Linked DNA regions of Coturnix japonica. Each later gene encodes a partner of the first gene's protein in a complex. Links are inferred from orthologs where the notes say so. Each region holds a gene or a part of one and is shown in the gene's direction. Other genes may lie near its edges. The genes, in order: PLXNA2 and SEMA6A.

Region 1 (9,239 bases):
CACAAGTAACAACCGTCCCATTTCCTGGTTTACTTAGGTAACAGCACTGTGGCTACTGTGTAAATACATCTGGCTGCCCGGGGGGTGTGTGGGGATAACAAATGCTGCATTGGCACAGCCAGAGGAGCTCTGTTGCAGGATTTCTGTTTAATGGAGTGGCTGGGGACCCATTTAATGTGAAGCTGGGGCTCTCCATTTGCCTGTGGGGTACTTGGAGAGAGGCCAGCAGATGCTGCTGCCTGCTTTCCTCCTGCAGCTCAGTGACTTCACTGCTCGTGTTGTCGTGTTCCTATGGAACAAACCACAGCCAGAGGTCACCTGGGGGAGCAGCGGGCACTGACACCTTCTGTATCGCTTCAGGCAAAGCGTTTAAGCATTTGATCTGCTTTGCACTTAAGGTCACCCTCCATTAAATTCTGTTTTGTTGGGATTTAAGTCCCTTGAATAATCAAACAGAGTCTGAACTGAAAAGAGCTCTGAGATCTCTGACTCCAACCCCAGCAGTGCCCACTGAACGTGTCCTCATGTTCCAGACCTGCAGGGTGACCCCACCACTCAATGGCAGTTCTGTGTCAGTGCATCACCACTCTTTCAAGCAATCATTTTTTTTTCCTTATATCCAACCTGCCCTGGCACAACTTAAGGCCATTCCTTCTCATCCTGGAGGCAAGCGAGGGCTTACCCTGTGGTTGGAGATAGCTGTGCCCGTGTTTGCTTGTCACTGTTGTCAGGGGAGAGCGGCTGTGCTCTGCTGAACAATCTCTGCTCAGTTCACGGACACAGACACAGAGAGGGGGATCGAAGCACTAACACAGCCCCTTATATACACTTTACTGCAGTGGTTTGTGCTTGGTGACTCCCCTTTGATAGCAGAGCATTTCCTTTGATTGAACATGAGTGCCTCTTGTGCGGGAGCACCATTCGCAGCCTGAGAGGGAAGCAGAGTGCTCAGAGTACCATGTTCAGGGCCAGGCAATGAGGCTGGGATAAGCCAGGGATGCTGCCAGCCCAGCTCTATGCTACTCTGCTTCTCCTCACCCCAGCACCGCTAGGATGCACACTCAGGATTGAGGCTGGGGGGGGGGGGAAGAGGTGGCTCATCCGGTATGTATTGTGTAAACAAGATCCCATGTCTGGACAATATGACTGAATTGGGTGCATAATTCATGCAATCGTGTTTGTTATCAGGGAAATGCCTTTTCACGGCTGGGTTTTGCTTTTCCCCTCCTCTTCCTTGTCCCAGGGCTGGAGGAAGCAATAAGCACAATGCTATGCTTTGCCCTCTTAACTCTTTCCCTGCACCTATGGGGGTGCTGTGAGCATTGGGGCTGCAGCTCAGTATCTTTCAGCCCTGCTGTTTTGCTATCTCATGTTAGGGGACACTGTGTGGATAGCAGGGCTGTCCCTCCTGTCCCAGCCATTCCGGAGCTGTCTGCCTGCTTTTAGTGTTGGTGGGGTCAGAACCTTCTATAAGCAAACAAAAAGGCTGTAGGAGCCATCATCCCTGCTTTGTGTTAGGAAAATGTAATTACTTCACATCAAACTGTTCGGTCATTGCAGGCTGGTGTCAAGCAAACAAATGATTGAGTGCCGCCTGGGCTGAAAGTGCAGGGGGCTGCTGCACCAAATGTCCTGAATATTGGGTCTTCACAGGACATAAATCACTGCAACAGCTTCAATGGTTGGAAACGTTTCCCAGGAACATTCCTGGTCGGCTCCAGGAGGGCTGAGAGGAGCCGTGTGTGTGCTCTCACTTGGCACAAAATGGGCAAACTCCACTTTTCTTCTCTCTTTTCTTCTCTGGAAGGCAGAGATAGATGGAGCCCATGCGAAGAGAGAGGGGCAGCTGGTGGCCCAACACCGTGTGGGAGGGCAGCTGCTGCACTCATAGCATCAAAAATGTTCCTTTGAGCCCTCATTTTCCATAAGAGAATCTCATTTTTGCTTTAATTCCTCCCCTTTTCTTTCCCCCCCCTTTTTCGTGTGGCATAAAATGCCACAAATGACAAAGCGTGGTGCTGCAGTTGAGTGACAGCTGCAATAAGCAGAGCGCTGCTGCACTGAGATGGAGTGAGCCGGGATCCTTCCCCCCTCAATGGGAACCGTGGCCATTTGAATAATAATATTATGGCCTCCATTAGGAAGACAGTGGGGGAAAAAAAGCCAGCTCAGACCTGTGATTATTCCTTCAATCTAATAATTATTTAAATACCCGATAACTCCTTTCAGCCTAATTGAGGCCTTTCAGCTGCTTGGGTTTATGTTGTGGCCCTGAATTTACTCTTTTATTGTTTAGTTTTTCTTTTTTTACCTTGTGTTACTAATAGCTTCAGATTGCCCTTAAAGCTGTGTTTTAAACTCACTTCCAAGGGAAAAAGAAAAACCAACCCAATACTTCAGCAGAAATTAGTTGTGTTGTGCATTGAGCCCCCGTGCATCCCAGAACCCCATAAGCCAGAACCTGCTGCCCTGAGCACCCCACCATCAGAGCACAGTGCTCTCTGAGCTGGCAGAGGGGAACTGCTGCCTGCCAGAGGTGAAAATGAAGCTGGAAACCAGAAGCAGCAGCTGAGGAAACGTATCCCTGAGCAGAATGAGGAACCCATTATCGTGCTCCTGCGCTGTCTTGTCAGTGACACAGAGACATGCAGCCCTGGGAGAGCTCCTTTGTCACCTCTCACAACACCCATCTCCAGCTCCCGGCATTAACAAGCCTAAAGAGCAGCCGCTTGCTGACACCCGCTTATGAGCGTGGTGTAGGTTTCCAGCGGTATGAATTGTTTTAAATACCAAATCTGAGATCAGCATCAATCAGAGCAGAAGCTCTGACAGCTGCATGGGGCCGGGAGGAGCCCTTGTCCTGCAGGATAGGTGCCAGCATGGACACGGTGCTGTGCTGTGCTATAAATCACAAGTCTTTGCCTGGTCTATGTGTGATGGAGGAAGGTGGATCATCATCTTCCTCATCCCAGGGTGGTGCGACCCCATAATGATGTGGGATGAGGGAGAATATCAGCCAATGGGACAGTATGGGATGGTTCCTGGAGTTGTCCAACATGGAGTGTGGAAGAAGCACAGCATTTGGGTTAAAAGCACAAGTTGGGGTCGGCAGCAGGTCTGGAGGTGTGAGAAGGCGTTGGTGCCACCTGCATGGGCACTGCTGGCTCAGGGCAGAGGTGATGGGGGCTGTTGGGTCTTTGGGGTGCATCCTTAGTGCACTTTTGCCCACATGAGACTTCTTCCTCAGTCTCTCACATTAAATCATAGAGGTCCTAAAGGCAGAAAACACCTCTTATTTCCTGTGTTGCTTCCAGCAACATTCCCTGCAGGAGGCATCCTTTTAGCCAAGCCTGCAGATTGATGGTTGTATGGGAACTGCAGGCTTTGTCTTGGCCGGGAGCTGATTATCCCCTCCCATGGCAGAGTGGAGCACATTATAACAACCAAACACCGAATGCATTAACACACAGGGGCTGAACCAAGTGGCACAACCTCAAACCTGAACAGTTTGCCAATAAGTTAGGAGACCTGCTTAATTCTTGTTAGGCTTAGGGATGTCCTCGCTTTATCTCAAGGACTCTGTAATTAGAAAGTGTAATTTGAATGGTATCTGCAGGCACACCGGGTCTAATCCTTTGCTCTGTGCCTTTCTTCTCTCCTCCAGAACCATGTGAGGGACGTTGCTGGGGCACAGGTCGGCCATTCCCAGGATGGATCGGAGGAGGACCTGCCCTTGGGTGCTGCGCTCTGATAGTGATGGCAGGTCAGCATCTCTTCTCTGCCTCCTCCTGGCATGGCTCTCCTGGAGCGCATCCGGCAGTGCCTCATTCAGCACTTTCCATTCTGAGCACCGGGACTGGACTTTCAACCACTTGACCGTCCACCAAAGCACCGGAGCGGTTTATGTCGGAGCCATCAATAGGGTTTACAAGCTTTCAGGTAACTTGACCATTTTAGTGGCTCACAAAACCGGTCCCGAGGAGGACAACAAATCCTGCTACCCTCCCCTCATCGTGCAGCCCTGCAGCGAGGTGCTGACCCTCACCAATAATGTCAACAAGCTGCTGATCATTGACTACTCCGAGAACCGGCTGCTGGCCTGTGGCAGCCTGTACCAGGGGGTGTGCAAACTGCTGCGCCTGGATGACCTGTTCATCCTGGTGGAGCCCTCGCACAAGAAGGAGCACTACCTGTCCAGTGTCAATAAGACAGGCACCATGTACGGCGTCATCGTGCGCTCCGAGGGTGAGGATGGGAAGCTCTTCATTGGCACAGCAGTGGATGGGAAGCAGGATTATTTCCCCACTCTCTCCAGCCGAAAGCTTCCCCGCGACCCAGAGTCATCGGCGATGTTGGATTATGAGCTTCACAGTGACTTTGTCTCGTCCCTCATCAAAATCCCCTCAGACACCTTGGCTCTCATTTCTCACTTTGATATCTTCTACATCTACGGCTTTGCCAGTGGCAACTTCGTGTATTTTTTGACTGTCCAACCAGAGACCCCAGAGGGCGTCTCCAACTCTGCCAGTGACCTCTTCTATACATCCCGCATCGTCCGGCTCTGCAAAGATGACCCCAAGTTCCACTCCTATGTCTCTCTTCCCTTTGGCTGCGTCAGGGGGGACACGGAGTATCGCCTGCTGCAGGCAGCCTATCTGTCAAAGCCAGGGGATGTGCTGGCCAAATCCCTCAATATCACAGCCCAGGAGGATGTCCTCTTTGCCATTTTCTCCAAGGGACAGAAGCAATACCACCAGCCTCCGGATGATTCTGCACTCTGTGTCTTCCCAATTCGTGCTGTCAATGCCCAGATCAAGGACCGGCTGCAGTCTTGCTACCAAGGGGAGGGCAACCTGGAGCTCAACTGGCTGCTGGGGAAGGATGTCCAGTGCACCAAAGCGGTGAGTTGGTTGTCATAGCCTTTGTTTTTAATGTGTGGCCCTAAGTTACAGAACAGAATCAATATTTCCGTGCCTCAGTTCCCCTAAATATGGAATGGATGTAGTAGTCCTTTTCTTCCTTAATCCCTATTGTTTTCAGACAATCAGTGATGGTAGTGAAAGGAGGGACAGCACTGAGGCAGGTGGATAAAGATGAAGGTGTGCTGCTTGTTGGCAGTGTTTGCTGTTCCCAACCTCAGGCTCTCACCTTTCCCACAGCAAGAGGCTGGTATCAGCAAACTAACAAGATAAACACAAATGACAGTTGCATCTTTCGTGGTTTTATTCAGATGATTTCTCTAATCTTGATTCAGATGCAGATTGTTCTAGGGCTGACTTGAGAATCCCCGGGGCCTTCTTTTGCCAAGCATATTAAGTTTGGCTGCTGGGAGGAGATGAACGTGGGTTAAATGAAATGAAAAAAGGAAAGTGAGAATGCTTGCACATGGGAGAGCCATCCCTTCACAGTTGTGTCTAAGTGTTTGGCAGTTCCTGAATGTCCCTTATGGAAAATAAGCAAGAGAACTGCAGTCAGTGTGATGGTGCAGCCCCATGGCACCACCATAAAAACCAGGGTCTGCAGCTGGGTCAACCCCTACAGACCTCACATCCATGCAGACTCCATGTCCCTACCAGCCCCATGTCCCCAGTCTCCTTGGCTCTCCTGTGCAATGAAATTAGGGCTGCCTCCTGCTTTGTATTTCACTCATGGTTGCCTCAAATCTCCTCTTTCCAGCCTGTTCCAATTGATGACAACTTCTGTGGGCTCGACATCAACCAGCCCCTGGGTGGCTCAGTGCCAGTGGATGGTGTGACACTCTTCACCTCCAGCCGGGACAGGATGACTTCTGTAGCTTCATACATCTACAATGGCTACAGCGTGGTGTTTGTGGGGACTAAAAATGGCAAAGTGAAGAAGGTAAGAGAATTTCTGTGGCTTTGGGGAGGCGGGATCCGTTTCTTGTCAGTGTTACGGCCCATTGTGGTTTGGTTTGGTTTTTCATTTCATCATTCAATGAGCCGTGGTGTATCTGTGGGGCTGTTGAAGAAGTTATTGGAGCAATAACAGGCTGACGTGGTTGGAGGCAAAAAGATCTGGTGGACAGTTTGTGAGTTGAAGTGACCATCAGCGAACCATGGCAGGGGGTCTCAGAGATGTCCTTTTGTTTGTGAAGGTTTAATGGAAGTCTTGCAGCAGGTTTGAGTTGTTTCGCAATAATCCTTCTGCCGTTGGTGTGGTAGACTGAGCTTCAGAGGCTTTTGAGTTTCCTTTTGTGCTGGCAATATTTGGTGGTGGTGGCAGAATGTTGAATCAGCGAGTGGGTTGACTTGGCTGCTTTTGGAAACCAAGCTTCAGGGCAAAGCCTTCTTCCTTATCCTTCTCTCCCCAAGACAGCTGGATGATGGATCCCTGGTAGATAACATTCCTCACCCTTTGCATCACAAAAGCTGGGGCTCTTGCCCAGGGCTAAGAAAACCTCCATGTTGCTTTTCTCTCCCAGCAGTGAGAGCTGGGGGCTTCTGAGTGGGCTCTGGGGGTCCAACCACCAGTCTGCTTCCTTCAGATGAACCTGAGATGTCAATGACATCATTTGGTGAACCTGCTAAATGCAGACCCTGCTTCTCTAAGCCAGGGAAAGAGTTAACAAATGTAATCAACAGCAGGTTGTTAATTTTTTGTGTCCTTAAACAGCAGGGAATTTCTTCCTCATCTATCCAGGAAGATACAAGGACAGGCAGATACTACACTTGAATGTCTGCATCATTTTAATTACATCAGTTCATTAATATTCATTCAGCACTTTACAAGTGCTGAGCAGCAGTAAATTAGGAGTCTCCCTGGTGCCTCTCAGTGCAGTGAGGAAATCTGGAGCATGGGGGCATGAGCAGAACCCTTCTTTCCCTGCCCAACCTGGTGCTGTGTGGGACATGGGGCTCATCCTGGTGTGGGTGGAGAAAGAAATCATCAGCATATTGCAAATAATGCATCTGCTTGAGGTTCCAGCAAGCCACGTTGGCCACTGGGTGGTTTCTAGTTGTTGGATATTTGCTGACCATTGTTGAGTGGTTGCTTGCCATGGCTGGGTGGTTGTTGGCCATTGTTGGGTGGTTGTTGGCCATTGTTGGGTGGTTGTTGTTGGCTGGTTGTTGGGTGGTTGTTGGTTATTGTTGGGTGGTTGTTGGCCATTGTTGGGTGGTTGTTGGCCATTGGTTGGTTGTTGGCCATTGCTGGCTGGTTGTTGGCCATTGTTGGGTGGTTGTTGGCCATTGTTGGGTGGTTGTTGGCTGTTGTTGGGTGGTTGTTGGGTGGTTGTTGGGTGGTTGTTCGCCATTGTTGGGTGGTTGTTGGCCATTGTTGGGTGGTTGTTGGCTATTGTTGGGTGGTTGTTGGCCATTGTTGGGTGGTTGTTGGCCTTTGCTGGGTGGTTGTTGGCTATGGTTGGAGTGTTTGTTGGCCATTGTTGGGTTGGGTGCTGTCCATTTGGTGTTTTGGGAAGCAGGGGAGCTGCTTTGTGTGTAGGGAGTTAAAGCGAACAGCTTGTGCCTGCACACCAGGCATTTACTGTAGTGTGGCATTAATTATGTAGGATTACAGAAGAAGCATTTTCTCCGGCACAGTTAATTCCTTGTAGTTGTCTGCATTGAAGCCCCACTCAAACATCCACCTTTTGATGCTGGTTAGTTTATTCATGCCCATCCACTTTACTCCTGTGGGCAGGAGGGGAGCTGAGGAGCAATGCAGGAATAATCCAAGCTTTGCCTGTGGTTTGAGCCAGTGGTAAACAGGTACTGAAAAACTGAACTTAAGTCTCCAGCGAGTCCCTTCCAGTCATTCATTACAGTCAGCCCTTAGTGGCATATATTAAGAGCCCTTCTCCACACATCAGCTGCTGGGACCCTGCTGTATCCAGAGCTGGAGCCCTGTCTTATGCTGCTTGGGGCTGGGGATGTTCTGGGCTGGACCTCTGGTAAATCTATTCCTTTTTGACATATGGGGTTATCTTTATGTATGAAGTGTGGGAAGTGGCTTTGCCTCTAACAGTGCCACAGTGGAGGTGTTTTGGATCCAGAGATGTTGCTTGGTTGTCTGCAAGGCTGAGCGTGGTCCCAGAGCTGGCGCATCACTCAATGTTACGAGGGCTATGAAAGCTTCTGTCTCTCTCCTTCCCCACATGTGAAATGAGGACAGTAAAGATGTGCACCTCTGTAAGTGCCAGAGATTCCCAGATAAACGCCTCCTCTCCTCATCTCACTGCCCTGACTATCTACCTACGCACCGAACGCTGAACGCTGCTCGCATCTATTCCCTCTCCCACAGTTGTTGATTTACTTTGGAAGCAAGCTGGTGGCTCAGCCTGGGATTTCAAAGAAGAGGCTTTTATGTAGCTGCAGGGAAGAAGTCAGGGAGCCAGCTCTGAAATCTTTCAGCTTTGCCTGTGAGAGTTCATTACCGAAAATATCCCCTTATCTCACTGATGTCCTTCCCATCAGCCATTCTAATGGGCTGCTGCAGCCTGTCCTCCCAAGGAGCTGGATGCTGAAGGTCTCTGCCAACCCAGGGCCACTTCACTCCAGGCTCTGTCCCTTCCCTTTGTCCCACTGTCCCTCTACAGTCCCTCTCCCAACCAGCCCAGGGCTATACCTGAGCTGTGGACTATCAGCAGCTCATACCACGTGGAATGGTGCATGCACCCCTCTGCCCTTTGTTGCTGCCTAAGGGATAGGGATGAGTCGATGGATCCATTCTGCATGGAAACCCTTTGCTATAGGAGGGATGTTCTCATGCAACACTGGCTCAGCCATCCCGACTGCCTTGGGTAGGGGATGCTTGGTGCTGTCAGGGGCTGCACCTGTAGGCATGTCCCCACAGTACATGGGATGTGATAGAGCAGCCCTGCTCCATGGCAGCTCTCTGGCTTTGGGAACTGCTGCAAATTACTGCAGCAGTTATCTGTAAGTGGTGAAAAGCCAATGTGCTGATAATGCTGTGACCTTCGGATAAGGTGGGTACGTGCGGTCCTGTTCTCTGCAGCCTGGAGGTCTGGTTCTCCTGCAAGGTCTCAGCATCCTGACTGGGCTAAACGGTATCATATCGAGACATAAGTGCTCAGTTAATGAACTGCAATAACGCAGTTTTCATGGAGGAAAATTAAAGGAGACATTAATACAACAGTGAACAGCAACTGAGTGCTGGGGGGAGATGTGTCGGCTTGCTTGTTCTGTTTACGGGCTTCATACAATTCCATCAATATTGATGTGTGATGCCTTTGATTTTGACACTAATCATTGCTACGAATT
Region 2 (9,872 bases), on another chromosome or scaffold:
TGTACTTTGAATTTCTGAAATAGGGGCAAGAAGGAAATAAATTGAATCTAATCACAACAACTAATGCAAAAAGTGGAGAATGTGATATGGGAAAACAATGAATGTGGATGTGTTCAACAACTGCGGTGCATCGTTGCATCACTGTGACACACCAGATCCTCAGTACTTCCACAGAAATGACAGAGAAGAAAATGAGTGCATATTCAGCGTGGGGCTCATGCACTGCTTGGAACTGAACTTCACACAAGCCAGATAGATGAGGTAGCTGCCAGCAACCAAAGAGATTCAAGTGTCCTTCCCCAGCACAGTATGAGCATCCCAACAACATCAAGTCAACATATGTATAGAATCATAGAATGAATCACAGAATAGCCTGGGTTGAAAAGCACCACAATGATCATCCAGTTCCAACCCCTGCTATGTGCAGGGTCACCAACCACCAGCCCAGGCTGCCCAGAGCCACATCCAGCCTGGCCTTGAATGCCTGCAGGGATGGGGCATCCACAGCCTCCTTGGGCAGCATGTTCCAGTGCGTCACCACCCACTGAGAAGTGAAAAACTTCTTCCTAAGATCCAACCCAAACCTCCCCTGTCTCAGTTTAAAACCATTCCCCCTTCCTAAGATCCAACCCAAACCTCCCCTGTCTCAGTTTTAAACCATTCCCCCTTGTCCTATCACTATCTGCCCTCGTAAACAGCTGTTCCCCCTCCTGTTTAAATGCTCCCTTCAAGTACATACAGGCCACAATGAGGTCTCCCCAGAGCCTTCTCTTCTCCAAGCTAAACAATCTCAGTTCCTTAAGCCTTTCCTCACAGGAGAGGTGCTCCAGCCCTCTGACCATCTTAGTGTCACTCCTCTAGACCTGCTCCAAGAGCATCCAGGCCTGGACGCAGCACTGCAGATGGGGCCTCACAAGAGCTGAGTAGAGAGGGACAATCACCTCCCTCTCCCTGTTGGCCACTCCTATTTTTAATGCAGCCCAGAACTTTGTATTCTATGTGATTAGGTTGGAGCTTGATGATCCTTGAGATCCCTTCTAACCTAAGCCATTCTATAACTCTATGATTAGGAAGCAAAAGCAGAGGTAATATTTTCACATCAACTCAAATTAAATCTTTGATAGAGATCCTGTCCAAAGAGGAGCTGGAGAACTCTGCAGCTTGCACAAATCTTTCAGATAATGCACAGCTCCATGGATACCTCACCAAGAATCCCTAACCAGATGGAGACTGGAAAACCCACCAGTGCAGCTGCCAAAGAGCAGCCACTGAAAAAATATGCTCCCAAAAGTAAGAGTAATAATTCCCTTCCTCAGGCCAGTGTGAATAGCTCACAGTTTTTAACTAGTCTAGGCAAAAACAGATAAGGCTGTGCTGTGTTTTCAGAAAATCTGACAGCATGGAGAATTGAGACTGTTCCATAAAAACAGCCCGATATGACTTGGTGGGGGAGAAAACATGAGGAGAATAGTTTACCATTCTGGGTACAGAGAGCGAAAGGGGATGAGGAGACAGGTAAAAGAAAAGAGGGTTGTTTCTTTAAGCCATAACACTCATCTGATTTTGCAGAGTTATTTGAGTAAGTTAAGAGCAGAAGGAGCAGTAGGGGAATAAAGGACAGGAGAGCTGACAAAAGTTCTGGCAGAAGGATAAGTGAAAACGGTTGCAGTGTGTGTGTTTAAATGATGAAATAAATCAGTGCAGGCTTGGAAATTAAATACAGGGAAAGAAAGTGGATGAATGAAAAGCACTTTTGTAAAGAAACCTCAACAGAAACTTCTCACAACCGGTGCTGTAGCTCATACCAAGGTATGGAACACGGGATTTTTCACTGATTTCTGCTTCTTCCATAAACTAAAAATCTGGCACGTGTTTTTCAAAACCATAAATATAGGGGGAAAAAATGTTCTCTGTTAGAGAGCCTTTCTGATTAATGAGGAAATCCAAGTGTAAAACAAACTGCTCAGTACTGCAGAAATACTTTTGAAGCACATGAGTAGGGCTCGATTGAGATCTGCTTACAGTTTAAACCACAACAAAGTCAGTGGAAGTCCTGAGCACCTCAAAATGTATGTAGCAGTTGAGGATAGCATAATGATGGAAACTTCCCACAAAGCCAGACTATGTTATCTCTGTTCTCAATTCCTGACACAGGGAGATGCAGTAAGAGATGATCCAGAGCCTCCTCTGGGAAGATAAAGGGGTAGGGCTCTTGGCAAACCAAGGTCCATTCAGTCTGGTTTATTCTTCTGACACATGGTTGGGTACCCAGAAATTATTTGTACTAGTCCAATTCCTCTAATTGCTTTCAGATCTAGCATACGTTTGTTGAACTAAAATTTATCTCTTACCAGCAATTACTCTCTTCAGTGCAGAGCCCTCTTCTGTTTCAGATTTTCAGGGCAAGGAAGAAAATATATACGAAATCTTAGTTCATTTAGTTAGAAAATCATCCTAAGTATACATTCAGTATAAACTGTCTGAAAGAAGAAACTTTTCCCCAACACAGATGGATGTTTTCCCTTGTAATCTACCAACTAGAAACTGAATGAACACGCGTAATTTTAGACCCCAAATCAAATACTGAACCGAAACCAATGTCTCAGAGTCCTTTCATTATCTGAAAATAAAAGGCAAGGGAAAAACAGCTGCCATAAACAAGGAATTATTTTAATGTTAATGACACCCCTTTGTGGCCTGACAGTAAATCCCTTTGCTCTATCCCGTCGTTTCACTTATCTGGTTTGGAGGGGAAATAAATAAATAAATAGATAGATAGATAAATAAATAAATATCGTGTTGAAGCAATTGCACTTGTAAAGCGACTCCTGTTGTGGAGCAGATACCTCCACACGGAAACTCTCCTCTCAAACCTCACTCTAGTGAGAGCTACAGGATACAAAACGCTGTTAATCCCATGCTACGGCTGAGGAACGGCTCTGTCTGTCCCCGCACCCGGAGCCCCCAGAGGTCAGCGATAGGGGCCGGAGGGTCGGATCCACACCCGAGCGTGACAGCCGGGAGCGACCCGACCGGGTGCACGACCGCAGGGCTGGGGTGGGGGATTAACATATTAGCGCCGCTCTCTCCTGCCTCTCTCTGGATCGGCTCCGAGACGGGGATTAACGCAGCCAGCGGCCGCCGGGACGAGATTTGGGTGGAGGAACGATGGAAAAGGAAGAGATGAAGACGGCCGAGATGGGTGCCGGCGGCACCCCGCGGAACCGCAAAGCCGAGATGCTCCGGTCGCTCGCGGGCATCCCTGGGGCGGCGATGCGGCGCAGCGCGTGGATCATGCGGCGGCGGCGGGTGCCGACGGTGCCGACGGGGACTCCGCTCCCGCGGGGCTCAACGCCGCATCCACCCCTCCGGCGGCACCGCCCGCAGCACGGCGGGGCGGGACGGCTGGGCACGTGCCTGCGGGGCGGGGCGGGGCGGGGCGCGGCCGCACGGAGAGATCCAGTCCGGGCTTTGTCTCCGCCTCCGGAGCCGCGTCCCAGGGGTTGGGAGTGGGAGCCGGGCGGAGGCAGGGCAGCGGCGGCGGGCGAGAGGCTTCCAGTCCAATGCCCGACAGCCTGGGGCGAGCAGCGACTGCGCCTTCTTGCCGCGGCACGGCGAGCGCCGCACAGCCTCGGAGTTTTCCTGGAGCAGCTTTAGCACCGGGAGCACTTTTGGTAGAAGGGGAGCAGGACAAGACCCCGCAATGACTTACCTCCCGAGGCACGGCTGAAGGGGACTTACTGGAGTGGAATCGTAGTGGAATTTGGGTTCGGAGAGGAGTTGCGAACGCTTTTTTTTTTCTTCTTCTTCTTTTTTTCTTTTTCTTTTTTTGATATACATATATATTTTTTCACTCCTATTCCCTCTTTTTTTTTTTCTTTTTCTTTTTTCTTTTTTTTTTTTTCCGTCATTGGAAATGAACAAATTGCACTTGCAATTCAGAAAGTAGAAATATTAAAATATTCCATCCCCTGGGAAGCACATATGTAGTAATGACAAAGGATTGCAAAGGAGAGAGTGGCTCCAGTTTCCCAGAGAGATCCCCTTAAATGGATTACTAAATGGGACACACCATCAGCTAGTTCTGTCCTCTAGCTGCCCAGATAGATGCACCGAAAAGGTACAGTACTCCCCGTCCGTATCCGATGTGTTGGGTTGCGTGGAAGGAAGGCACCCGCCTCGCCCGGCCGGTCGAGAGCGGTGGGGACGGCGGGCGGCGGCTGCGGCTGCTTCGGCAGCGCCGATGGCATTAAGCGAGGAGCTGCCCGCAAGCGCACGCGTTGTGCTCGCCGCTGCCACTTTCCAGGCATCTCGTGGCTTCGTCTCTCTTTTCCTTTTTTCCTCTTTTCCTCTCCCCCGCCCCCAGGCTGCTGAACGCGCCGGCGCTCCCCGGCCCACCGGCACCGTTTGCATGCACGGTGCTCGAGCTCCTGTCCGCATTCTCCCGTCTCCCAGCCCCGCTCCCTGCCCGCTGCTGCGGGGGGTTTCGTGCGGGGCCGGATCAGCGCTGCCCGCGGTCACCGCGCGGGGCTGTGAGCTGCCGGGGTCTTTGTTACAGGCACAGTGCGGGAGCTTCGTGCAGAGGCGTAACCCACGGTTTCCTCTCTCAAGTGCGGGATTGTGGTGGTGTCTTCTATTTTGGTGGGCTTGGAGGTGTGTTTCGGGATTGGGGTTTTTGTTTGTTGGCATTATTTTATTTTATTAAATTTTCAAGGCTGAAAGAAGAGGCCGGCAACCGAGAAAACTTCGGTTTCCCCGGGTGCTACAGCGGCTTTGTTCGCGAGGGTGGGCTGAGGCCGTGGGCTCCCCTCCCCGCCGCACCGACCTCTGTCCCCGCAGAGGGGCTGCGGGCTGCTCGGCTGCCGCGGCAGGGAGAAGAGAGGCTCCCGGGCAGGGCCCCTTCCCCGCCCCCTTCTCGGCAGGGTGAGGGCTCTGCTCTTCGCTCGCTCTCCTGCCCGGGGAGCCGAGAAACGGCGGAGAAAGTTTTTCTAGGGGGAAGAGCGGGGCAATCCGGCACGAAGGAGCTGCTGCAGCCCCTCTCGGAGCTGGGCAGGCGGCTCCGAGCGGCCGGCAGCGGGCAGCTTCGTGCCGCTGTTGAAGAGAAGACGGTTTAGTTACCCTCAGCCCAGCCCGTGTAGGGACTGCGGGCGAGGCGTGCTAGGAACACACCGCTCCCCCGACCCGTGCTGCCCGGAATGAGGCAGGGGGTCAGCGCTGCCCCGGGTCCTGCCGGCGTCCCCGGGGAGGGTGGCAGAAAGTTTGGCTTTGCTTCGCGACGGAGAAAGTACCTGCAAGAGCTCGGCCGTCCCTCCGCCCCTCCTGCCCGAGGGAGGCGCTTCCTGGGGTGGCTGCAGGCGGGGGAGCGTTGCGAGCGCGGACCGTCGCGGAGGCGATGTCGTTCTGTCCGCTGGCACTGCGATGTCCTGGCAGCCCCTGGCCGGGTGAGTGCCGGGCTGAGCTCCGCGGACGGCTGTCTGTGTCTTTGCCAACAGCGACCGCTTGTTCGGAGGGAAATTTGCTCTCCTTCCACTCTTTAAGCAAATTGCTGCTTTGGAAGTTTGTAAACCTGTGCTCGTGTGCCCGAGGTCTGTGCAGCACACATCTTTGGTAGTTGTGGACGGGAAATTGTTCGACTAATAGACCTGCAGAAGCAAAGGCTTGAAGTGGCCCGTGGTAAAACACGTTAATTCTAGGCTTCGCTACAGGAACACTTGGTCCTCCAAAGGGGTGGACGCATGGGCTGTGCGTAGTAGTAAATAGTGAAGAGCTGAATCTCCACGACCATTTTCTGCCACAGAGCTGTGTGCAGTGGCTAACTGTCGTAGGTTGGGCTAACTTTTGTTCAGTATCATCTGGCACCTGTATTAATTATTAAGCTAACCTCGATGACAGTGGGGAAATCATGCCCCTTGCTATGCTGTCTTGGCAAACACTGTCTGTGTGCGATTCAGTGTTCTCATGTCAGTAAGCTTTACTTGCCGGGTAAATCAGCGTGAGGAAGTCCAGCTGAGCGAGGCTCTATCACAAAACTTGTGGAGATTCTGACAAGTCTGTGGCAGCTCTCTGAGAATAGGATTTATGCAGCCACTGTAATGTTCAGGGCTTGCTTTGCCATTTGTTTTCTGCAAGCTGACTGTGCTCTGGTTAACTTTGTTGGGTTTTCTGTTTGTTTTTGATGAGATTGATCTAGTGTGTTGTGGGGAAAAGTGGGTTTCCTACAGCAAACCCTTTCTTTCATGGAATTGCCTCATGTGGAGTACTGAAAGGAAATGTTGTAGAGTCAGTAAGATTGGGAAGGTTTGCCTCAAAAAAGTGCAGTTGCCAGAATGTTTCAATGTCTAGGGTATAATTTTGTCTGAAAGGATCCTGTTTTTCATGTGGTAGCTTATCCAAAGATATAATGCAAAGAGAAAATACACTAACTCTCTTTAAAGCCAAACAATTTCCTATGCATAAAAATGTTGATCTTGGTTCTCTCCCACTCTTCACTGAATAAAATCTCTGTCTTTGAAGTAATTTTATCTCAGGAGTGGAATGCCCAGAAGAAGTTTCTGCCTGAATGCAAAATGAATTTTAAAATAGCAATTAATACCATAAAGTATAATTGCACTGTTTGCTTTTCCTGTAGTGGGAATCAAGTGCTTGAAGCATGGATGAGTACTTAAAAGGAAAACGAATCATATGGTCGCAGATGTTCTTTGTATTCTGAATTAGCCTACATCAAAACTGTTACTCTGACTTCCAGTGGCAAAGCCAACCTTATGAGATAAACTTGTCATTCTTGAACAAAACAAAACAAAAAAATAGTTGGGTGCTAATGTCTGCAAGAAATATGTTGATCTATCATCTCCAGCTGCTTGAAGATGGAAGTGAGTATCAACCATAGTCTCCTTGTAATGTTTGCAAATTAGGGCATGCAGTTATTGCTGTTCAGCGTGAGGAAGGAGGTAGGTCAGGTTTGGGAGAAGGTGTTGTCCTTGCTCATTTATTATTATTATTATTTTGGAGGGAAGGGGGGAGGTGGGGTAAGAGTGAGAGAAAAAGGGAAATCAGAAGGATCAGATTAATGACCTGTGTTAAATCCAGAATAGAACTGTTTGCATTGAAAAGGAAGTAGGTTATTGTGAACTTGCTTGTGCGTGTTTTGTGAAGGGAAGGGGAAACTTGTCATCTTGTTTTGAAGAGCCATACATAAATACGCATGAAAAGAGTTCACATGGTTTGCAGCAGGAGAGACATAAAATGTTTTCGGATTAAATTGACCTGAGCTAATGTATGTCTTGCATCCAACTTGTTTGCAAGGACGCATTGTTACACTTCTCGGTCAAATGCTTTGTATCTGATTCCCATGCACTATTACCAGAGCACTGAAAAGAAACAACGTGGTAAATTCTGCTACATAAATATCTATTCTTTTAGGCACAGAATATGCTAGAGTAAAGTTGAACTATACTAGAACAGAAGTTTTCACTATCTTAATTTGATACAGATGCTGCAGTATTTTACCTCCTACTATTCATTTATTAAGGAGGTAGATCTTTAGCTCTTGTCCTTTCCAGTCTTGCTTGCCCAGCTCTGCTCTGCTTGTTGGAGTAATTGGATGAAAATAAAGGCAGTTGCTGAAATATTAGTCAATTAGGGCCATTCTTCCATAGCGTGGTTCCCCCTGCTTTCTGGTGGGAATCTATGCTTGATGAGGACGTGCAACCGTGGTCCTTTTGCTGTGAATCAACCTTCATTATTCAGGCAGACTTCTGTCCACATCTTCTGGAGCAATCAGCATTTAACACAGACCTACAGCAGACTGTGGCAAGCCTTGTCTGGGCTGGGAAAGAGAAGAAAGAGAGTAGTAAGCAATGCTTTCTTCTGCACTATAAATTCTGTGCATCAGACTACCCTGAGGTAGGTGAGGAGTGGGGTGGTAGGTAGTAAAGAGATCCAGCAGTGGTATCAGGTCCTGCAACATAGAGCAACCAGAAACAGGCTTTAGTGGCAAAAATAAGCAGCTGAGAGAAAACTCAGGCCTGAGTATAAAACCTCTACATATGAATGTGTTCATTTTGAGCCTGTTGCATCCATCAGTAAGGAAAGAGCTTGGACAGGCTCTGCAAAGGCAGAAGTGCGTGTCCTGGTTGAAGTGCAAACTGGACAGTCTGGAGTCTTTATTCCCTCTGTATGCTGTCTTCTGAGAGAATGAAGCCATGAAAATAGCTGAATGTTAGCATTTATACAGTGTAGAGGGTTGTTTAACTGGTCTCAGAAAATGAGTCTTTGAGCTTGGGTCTTGCCTGTAATGTGACAAGTATGGCAGCACAGCTCAAACACTGCTTTAGGATTTAAAGGGAAGAGTGCCACCTACTGTGTTGCAATTATACATATTGCATGTCCTGCATGTCCCCTGGAGTCCCTAAGGTGCCCACTTGCCACTCCTATTTTAGCAACTGGGTAGGAAAAGTTTCAAAATTCACAGTGATATGGGAACTGGAGAAAAAAAAATAGAGTATCTTGTAACATCAGAGTATTCAGAAAGTCTTGGAAATGGTTTATTGAAAGACATGCATAGCTGTATTTGCTATTTTTGTCACTTAAGACTTATTAAAGCTGCAGCCAGTTAATGGTGGGGGCACAAGAAATAGGGGAGAGGGTTGGAGTTCTAAGCCACCCCCCATGAATTTATCATATTCTCAGCTTTCATGAGCCAGGAGAACGTACACGAAGCTGCCAGATTTATGTCCTGTGGAATCTAAAGTTTAGGTCCACTGTAGTAGTTAAAAAAGAAAAAAGCAAGATTCCATCTTTTGCAAAATAGCTTCTAAAAATGATGAAGAAAATCTGTAAAAAAAGAACAAAAAACAAACCACCATGAGACATCTCATAATTCACTAGTAAAAAATGCTCCTGATAGTTAACTCTTTCCCAGTGTGGAACTGTAGTTATTTATCAGTAAGGAAAAGAGGTGTGTTATACTCTGTGTGAATACAGAACCATTTCTGCCTGGAAGGAATTTTCCCTCAGTCCCCAAAGTGTTTCTGTACTGGCTGAAACAGAGATGTAAAATGAAGAAGATAAACTAGCTATTAGCAGAACTGCCAGTTGATGTATCTCTGGAGTGAAGACATATGGTAACTCGCTGCATTCTGCAATGACCTTCTCTTTAAAAGTATTGTCGATAAAAGACATTTCTGTGTACAGTATTTATGACAGACCCTTGAAATTCATATGTTGCGGGCTACCCCATGCTTTTTTCTTTTTAACCACTGTGAAGTGCAAATGAGGGTCTTCACACAGAAGCAGTTTTACACCTTTCATGGCGTATTCATGGCATACGGAAGGTAAGCACCTCCAGGGCAGGTGCCCAGCATTGCATGCTTCTTGTATCCCTCCCTCCCTCCCCTAGTGAAACCATGCCTTGGCTGCAGGGTCGTACCCTTAGTGATAAGGGCAAAAAATGTATTCCTCTGCTTCTCTCATCTCAGTAGCCTTTATGTGGAAACTTAATGTTGATGCAATTGGAAATAAAGGATGTTCTTATTACATCATTTCGCCTTAATCTGAGACCATCTAGTGGATGGGGAGTATAATAGTGATTTATTTATTTTATTTTTTATTTTTTTCCTGTAGATAATAGTGGGAGTTTGATTATCTGCTTCTAAAAAAGCTATTCCTAACCTCTCACCAGTTTTGCCATGACCCCGACAGACTCATGGGGCCTTCTAGTAATGAAAATGCATAGATAACGTAATAGATGTAGTAGGGGATTCTGGCTCAGCAGATGGGGAATATATGCTCTTACATGAATCTCCAACACAATGGGAAAAACAGTGTCCAAATGTATTCCTGACTGCAGCAGATGTTATTTCTGCTTGATCTCC

The links.
Region 2: the proteins of PLXNA2 (region 1) and SEMA6A are in contact, whole or in part, in a crystal structure (PDB 3AL8), measured with the Mus musculus proteins. The link is inferred for Coturnix japonica from reciprocal best matches to the Homo sapiens genes PLXNA2 and SEMA6A. Residues at the interface, in NP_032908.2 of Mus musculus: Ala93, Cys94, Tyr95, Pro96, Lys155, Gln192, Asp193, Tyr194, Asp220, Phe221, Val222, Pro229, Ser230, Asp231, Leu386, Lys389, Val391, Thr394, Lys395, Ala396, Pro397, Val398, Leu407, Asp408, Ile409, Asn410, Gln411; in NP_061214.2 of Mus musculus: Arg108, Met109, Lys110, Gly111, Met162, Ala163, Thr188, Phe190, Leu191, Ile193, Tyr198, Thr206, Arg208, His212, Asp213, Ser214, Glu219, Gln266, Arg267, Glu270, Lys271, Lys393.

The regions. Positions count from the first base shown.
Region 1 is NC_029541.1:3,039,947-3,049,185, reverse strand, and holds part of PLXNA2 (plexin-A2), read left to right. Parts: intron 1-3,664; 5' UTR 3,665-3,710; coding exon 3,711-4,901; intron 4,902-5,676; coding exon 5,677-5,859; intron 5,860-9,239. UniProt on the Homo sapiens protein: Coreceptor for SEMA3A and SEMA6A. Necessary for signaling by SEMA6A and class 3 semaphorins and subsequent remodeling of the cytoskeleton. Plays a role in axon guidance, invasive growth and cell migration.
Region 2 is NC_029547.1:64,082,874-64,092,745, forward strand, and holds the start of SEMA6A (semaphorin-6A), read left to right. Parts: upstream 1-3,505; 5' UTR 3,506-4,120; intron 4,121-9,872. UniProt on the Homo sapiens protein: Cell surface receptor for PLXNA2 that plays an important role in cell-cell signaling. Required for normal granule cell migration in the developing cerebellum.